Linked DNA regions of Caenorhabditis elegans. The protein of the gene in region 2 interacts with the protein of the main gene of each other region in a pairwise test. Each region holds a gene or a part of one and is shown on either strand. Other genes may lie near its edges. The genes, in order: C24D10.2 and W01B11.1.

The links.
Region 1: the proteins of W01B11.1 (region 2) and C24D10.2 interact in a two-hybrid assay, tested with the Caenorhabditis elegans proteins (one large-scale study listed by BioGRID).

What each region holds. Positions count from the first base shown.
Region 1 is NC_003282.8:5,161,242-5,164,911, reverse strand, and holds C24D10.2 (uncharacterized protein), read right to left. Parts: upstream 1,574-3,670; 5' UTR 1,520-1,573; intron 1,375-1,519; exon of another isoform or gene 1,354-1,374; intron 1,195-1,353; 5' UTR 1,171-1,194; coding exon 912-1,170; intron 780-911; coding exon 652-779; 3' UTR 561-651; downstream 1-560. Other genes in the region: nspd-3 (Nematode Specific Peptide family, group D), read left to right, coding at 1,871-2,086; C24D10.4 (ER to Golgi transport-related protein), read right to left, coding at 3,577-3,670.
Region 2 is NC_003279.8:3,297,451-3,301,210, reverse strand, and holds W01B11.1 (uncharacterized protein), read right to left. Parts: upstream 1,642-3,760; 5' UTR 1,606-1,641; coding exon 1,567-1,605; intron 1,523-1,566; coding exon 1,416-1,522; intron 962-1,415; coding exon 721-961; 3' UTR 695-720; downstream 1-694.

The DNA.
Region 1 (3,670 bases), on a different chromosome or scaffold from region 2:
CAAGAGACACAGATAAATGAATGTTAAAATGTACTTTTGCATTACTTGTAGCCACTCTAAATTTGACTCATCACAAATTTTTCGATTTCAAATTTGGGATAGATTACTGTATTTAGGTTGAACAATCATGCATTTGATACAAACAATTTTGGTAATTGATAACATATCACACAACAAAAGCAGGCTCTGTGGACAACTTGGCCCGATTTCTCCAATTTCCCAAAAAGACAAATCTAAAGTAGGCAGGCTTGCAGGCATTAGAATAAGTGAAAAGATAATTAGTTAAAAGATAATTAGTTTGGCTAAATTTGGAGTGGCCGGGCTCCAGTCTTTTTTCGGATTTCGGTTTTTTCATTGATTTTTACATAATTTTGGAGGCTCGAAAAAGTTAGGCAGGCATTCAGGCATTCACATAAGTAGGCAGGACCTTGGAAATGGCGCAGGCGTAATGTAGGTGCGGCTACTTACTATTGAAATGAAAAGATGAAAAAAGACAGATATTTAGGCAGAGTTCTTAGCCGTAACGGCATGTCTGAGTAAGATAACAAAAAAAAACGAGCCATAAACCAATACTTTATTGAGAAGTGACAAATAGAATTGACACTTTAAAAATAAGCGGACGTCACTTTTTCATTTCTTTCGATTCGTCTCTCAATTAGAAGACGATTCTTCAAGTCCTCCCCACCATGGATGGATGTAGTGCACCATGTTTCCTCCAGACTTCACGCTGAAGAAGATTGCAACTGCAACGAAGACGAGCAGCACCACCAATCCGACAACTGAAAAGTATAACATTGTATAATTGAACCCTTCCGTGTAGGCACAATGTTGCCATACAAAATACTTTCTGTACAACTTTAAGGCAAGCTGGTAGGCATTATCGTGCCTGCAGTCTTGGTCCTCCAACTCACCGATTCCAGCACAAAATATGGTTCCCTCGATGCGAAACAAGAAGTTTTGCGACTCAAACTTGTCTGTCTTTCTGACTTTCTTGGTCTTCGACTTTCCCTTCGACTTCTTTCCTTTTTTGCCCTTCTTATCCTTCTTCTTTTTGTCTTCCTTCTTGTTCAGTGTTCCAAGTAGATCCAGCATTGCCGACGATCCTCCTTGAGGTTTAGCGCCTGGTGTTGGATCACCTGCATCCGTGAATGAGACGTTGTCATCAGCCATCTTTTTATTACGCCCTTTGTTTCTCTGAAATACGGAACATTATGAGAAATTCGACTGTGATCGTGACGAGACCCGCTGAACCCGCGCCTAATTGAGACCTATCAGTCTAAGTCTTTGAACGGGTCATAAAAACAGTAACACTTTCTCATTCACCGTATCTGCGAGTGCAAAACTTCAAAAAGTTCTATGGCTCTCAGAAAATCCCACAAAGCGCCAATGTCCCGATTGAAAAGCAAACGAATGTTTAGCGAATAACAAAAAGCTGAACTTTAGAGCATGCCACGCTCTTCGTTCGGCCCACACTTGCTCGATTGACACATCTTCCCAACCATTTCGAGTATAAACTCACCTTTTAGAGCTCGATGAGCAACCGGCGACTTTTGAATCCTTTGTTGTAAGCAATGAATTTTTGAATGAAGAAACAAGTAGACACGTCTGAAGGTGAGAATACTAATAGAATTATTTTATTTCAGAATGTCACGGGATATATTAAGTTTAAAATGTTTTTTCTTGTGCCTGTCGATTTATGCGATTTTTCAAAGAAATTTCAAAAGTTGAAAAGTTCATTTATACGACTTGCACTTTCCGTGGAATATTCTTATCTTCGCCCTAGATCTTTCCTTTTATAACGAGCCAGAAATCGTCAGTTTATCAGTTTTCTGAGCAAGTTTCTCTGAACAACCTCAAACGAAAGACAACGATGGCGGACAAGTCGGCTTACATGGGCGCTGGTGGCTATGGATCGGGCTACATGGGATCCAATGCTTCTTCGTCAGGTTATGCCCGCGAAGACTATGCACAAGGAGGCAATGGTGGTGGTGGACAGCAGCAGAACCAAGGATCCGGAGGAAACACCAACCCAGGTGGGCAGGTCTTCAAGGCCCGTACTGACCAGTCCTGTTACCTTGGACCATAAGAAAATCGACACAAGAAGAGCCAGTCGCCCAAAGAAGTGCAACTTTCATTGGCCCTTTTGTGCCCAATAAATATTATTTCTTAGCTCGTTTTTTGTTGTTTTTAATTTTTAAATTAATTAATTGCTTTCTCGAAAGCAATAAGTTCTCCTCGGTTGTTGGCAGGTGTTCCGTACACCGGTCTAAATTGGTCTAAATTGGTCTAAATTGGTCTTAATAAATCTCCAGTAAAAAGCTCCGTCTGTGTAAACAACTGGGGCACCGGCAAATTCGGGATTGATAACTTAACTTTTTCGTGATACATAATTACAATTTATTATGCAAATAAATTGGTTTTATATTTCAGTCTTATTCTTATATCTTCAGTTTTTTAGCTTCTGCAAATTTTGTTCCTTCGCGCGTCCGCTTGCTCATGGTTGATGGAGTTGATACTGCAGGCGTTACCAGTTCTGTTACCGGCTACCGGCTCACGGGTAAAACTGCCCGAAATCTTACTTGATCCTGGAACACTCATTATCGGCAACGAATTTGCGAGCTTCAGCTTCAATGGCAAATTTCTTGTTTCTAAAACAATGCTTGGCTCCTAAATTGTCCAGAAGAAACATTTACCTTTTGCAATTACTTCGAATTTTGGAATCTGCCAATCTGCGTTTTGCATTCGTTTCATGTATAGTAGGCCTAGATTATGCATATTACACAGATGCCAATACCACGGTACTCGGTTTCGACACAACAAATTTAACAATAAATGCAAACGGGTCTGCGCCTTTAAGGATTACTGTAGTTTTTTCCACGTAGCGTTTTTCATTTTCTAATGGACGAACTATTAAGTATTTGGATCATTTTGATGTTATTGTTCCACCAAATTTCTTTGTAAAATTGAAACAAATTCAGTGATTTTTGTGAGAAGTATCAAAAATTCGAGAGCTTCTATAGAGTAGTACGGTCGTTTTACGACTTTAAAACCTATTTCCCGTAGTTTTTCATCGATTTGAAATCGATTGGCATCAACAATTTTTCATGAAATATGTCAGAACATGATGAAACTCGAAATTTTAGGGTGTTCTCTAGAAGTTGCACGCACTGACTGTTTCAACTTTGTGATATATTGCAACTAAAAATAGAATTTTGCTACAGAAGTGGACGTATTTAGGTAGAATCTCTAAAGTAAAATCCATATATTTTCTACTCTATCTACAGGAACGTCATATTACTTGGCAAATACATATATTACGCAATGAACTACGTTTCCTATTACATCGCCGTTCCTGGTTGTCTCAAATATTACTGTGAGAATACATCAGAACAATTGCATTCCATTATTATGGGAAACTAATAGTCGACTTCCAGAGGATTGTCCATTCGTCATAATAATCAATTCACAATGAATCTGAAAACCTATGAACTTGCAATTTTAATAATGCTGCATACAACTCATCAAGAACACAAATAATTTAATAAAACTTCCGATTTACATACAACTAATAACATTTTAAAAGACAATTTGATAATCCGCTGAAAAATCGTAGAGTTCAAGTATCATATGGGCGAGAAGGAAGCTGGCGGCGAAGGAGACGGTCGTTTGG
Region 2 (3,760 bases):
CGAGAGAAAAAACTTTTCGTCTAGATAAAAGATGTTGAGCAGGGAGTGGTCGACAATTGCTGTTCGGCAAATTTTTTGTCGACAAATTTGGCAAATCGGCAAATTGGCAATTTGCCGCTTGCCGCTTGCCGGATATCATTTTGCCGGAAGTGTTTAGAGGGATTTTTTATAAAACGGAAACACTTAAAACTGTACCTTTTTGAAATTTCTTTCCCGTTTCATGTAAATATGCAAATTCGGCAAATCGACGATTGTCGATTTGCCGGAAATTTCAATTCCGCCTATTTGCCGATTTGCTGGAAATTTTCATGTCTGGGAATTTGTCGGTTTGCCGATGTGCCGGAGATTTCAATTCCGGCAATTTGCAGATTTACCGGAAATCTCAATTCTTGCAATTTGCCGGTTTGCCGATGTGCCGGAATATTCAATTCCGGCAATTCGCCGATTCGCCGGATTGCCGGAAATTTTCATATCCCGTAATTTGCCGGTTTGCCAATTTGTCGGAAATTTCAATTCCGCCAGTTTGCCGGTTTGCCGATTTGCAGGAAATTTTCAATTCCGGCAATTTGTCGGTTTTTCCGATTTGCCGATCACCACTGACGTTGGGTTGATTAGGATATGGTCGAATAGTAGCATTTAAACTTCGCAAAAAAAGACGGGTACGCAAATGACTGGTTAATAATAGAAAAATTAATAAAATCCATACAATCTTTATTCCAATCACATGAGTCCATCAATCAATACCATCAAAGTGATAGCAACTGAAATAAAGACAAGAAATGCACTGAATGCCATTTGCCATTTAAAGGCGGACAATGATGGAGGTGGCTCGGAAGATTCTTTCGATTTGGAGCCACCCGAACGCTTTGTGCGCTTCTTCTTCTCCTTTCCGTTGCTTGGCGATGAGTCTTTCGATTTGCTCTTCGATTTTGATGCTTTTTTAGCCGGTTGCACTTGGAATCTGGAAATTTATTTCGAATTTGTATATTTTTCAGTTGCTATGGAACACCTTCTCTAATTTTTACAAAATTCTATGACAAAATGGAAAGTGTTAAGTACCCTACAGTATCCCTCCACTAAGCCCATTTACTATCGCTTCTACTGGCAAAAACTAAAACCTTCCAAACCTACAGTACCCTTACAGTACCCCTACAACATTCATCCGCTAACCACCCAATATTCCAGCAATAGGCAATTCCCACGGTTTCCCAAGGTTACAGTAATCCTGAAGTACCCCTACCGTACCCATTCAACATACAAAAACTCCCTTTTTCCAAAACTACAGAAACCCTAGAAGACTTCTACAGTACCCCTAAATAACTTTTTCAGAAATTTCCAGCAATTTGGAAAAAAATTATATTAAAAAATCAGGCAATGTTAAATTTGAAAAGCAAAATCCAAAAAAGTGTTCCTACTTCTTTGCCTCCGACGCGGGTGGAAGCTCATTCGACGGAGCAGGTGCGGGACGTGATGCTCCTGGAGCAACTGCTGGCGGTTGTTGGACTGGTGGTGGAGGAGCGAGCTGAAATTTGGCTTTCTGTTGCCTGAAAATAAATGTAAACTTACTAAATCTGGAGCCAAAAACTGGTAAGCGTCGTCGCCCATGTTGTGTTGCGAAATCGAATGAACCGTTCAAATTGTGATTGAGAAATAAGTTCACGAAAACATTTAAATTTATATTTTTTCAATTTTCAAAAATAAATTTAACCGGCATCTTTGTTTAAAAAAATCAATACAAATATTTTTAATGTGATAACGTTTTTTTAACTCGTGGGAAGTACTGTAGTTTAAAAGTTTTGCTCGTGACAAGACCCGTTATTTTCAGTTTAAAATCTGATGTTTAGTGTACCTATTCTCTAGTTTTTGTGTCTTTCGTATTTTATATTTTCCCTGCCGACTAACACGTTGTTGAACTATATTTTTGATTCACTAAAACTTATTTGTAGTTGACCTAACGGGTTGTCAATAAATACCAACATTTTCTACTCTAAAATAACTTTTTCGTTTTTGGGTCCCGGCGCTGAAAACATTTTTTTTTGAGCTTGTTCCTTTGAAACGATAATGTAGCAATTAAAAATTACGTTTAAAACTTATGTATAAAAAAAAGGTTTTTTAAATTTAAAAAATTCTATTTCCGAGAAAAAATATGGAGCGAAATTTTTCGAGCAAAGTTTTAGCGGAAAATTCAAAGTATTCGAGAACAAAATCGGTCGAAAATTCGAACTTTTTGAGGGCACATTTGGCGGGAAATTCAAATTTTCTAAGAAATATTTTTGGCGGGAAACTCAAATTTTTTGAGCTTAATTTTAGCGGTAGATTCAAATTTTCTGAGAAATATTTTTGGCGGGAAATTCAAATTTTTCGAAGTAACATTCTGACCGGAAATTTAAATTTCTAAGAAATTTTTTGTTGGGAAATTCAAATTCTTCGAGAAAAAAATCGGTCGGAAATGTAACTTTTTGAGATAAAAATTGGGTGGGAAATTAAAAATGTGCTGAGAATATAATTTGGTGGGAAATTCAAATTGTCTACAATGTATTTTTGGCGGGAATTCAAATTTTCTGTGAAATACTTTTGATGGGAAATTCAAATTTTCTGGAGAGAATTTATGTCGGGATACTCAAACTATAGAATTTTTCTGCGAAAAAGAAACAAACAAAACGTTGTTTATATGTTTCCTCCCCATTAGAACACCAAAGTACACAAAAACAAACACAAATTTGCTCTTCTTTTTTGTGCTCGGCGAGCAAGAAGGGCATCCCCCATAGCCGGAAGCAATTTCTTCTTCTCCTTCTTTTTTCTCCTCACTCACACTCTTTCTAGAAGTCTCAATGACGTCTTCTTACGTGATTTTTTGTGGTTTTTTGATCAGAAAATGAACTGTGAATTATTATTGATCACTTGATTTCGTATCAAAATTGATCACTTATCATTCAATTCTCAGAATTTCGCCAACTTTCACACGGGAATTCCCACAGACCCGGGTTTAAAGGTTCACATGTCTAAAATTTTGAGTCGATCATTTTTCTGGAGCTGGATTTCTGAAAAGAACGGCCAAAAATGGCTAAAATCACATTTTTGAGCACGGGCCGAGAAAATTTTCAAAAATGGTGCATTTGTTTTAAAACGGATCCGCTATTTTTAAAATCAAGTTTAACATTATTTTATGCATGTTACGCCACCCTTATTATTTTTGGCAGAAAAAAAACACGGCCACCGATTTTCTTTCGCGGCCATATTGACACACAACGACTCTCCGGTATCCCACAAAACGTGGCCTTCAGAAAAAATATTAGTGGCCGAGCTTTTGCAAACTGCTCAGAATTAGTTTTTTTTAATTTAAAATTAGATTTTTGTCAATTATGTTTTCAGAAATAACAGGTTGGTTTTTTTTTTTTGGAAAAATTGTATTTCACTGTAACTGGTCTCTGAATTTTCGAGATTTTTTTTGCATTGATTTTTAAAAAATTCCAAAAATAGGTGGCCGCGGAAAAACATCTTCCATTACTAAATTCGTAGGCCACGTTGCAAATAAGACGCCCACGTTACCTATGTATATATGATATAATTCCAAAAATGTTTGAATAAAACTTAAATTTTGTGCCAAAGTTTCTCTGATAGCCAGAAAATTTGAATTTCTTACCAATCTTTTTTTTCGGGAAAAAAATTTGAAGCTCCCGCCAAAAAGTTTTATTGAGAAAATTTGAATGTCCCGTCGCAAATTCCACCTATTTATGATTTCAGTTTTATTTACTTTAAA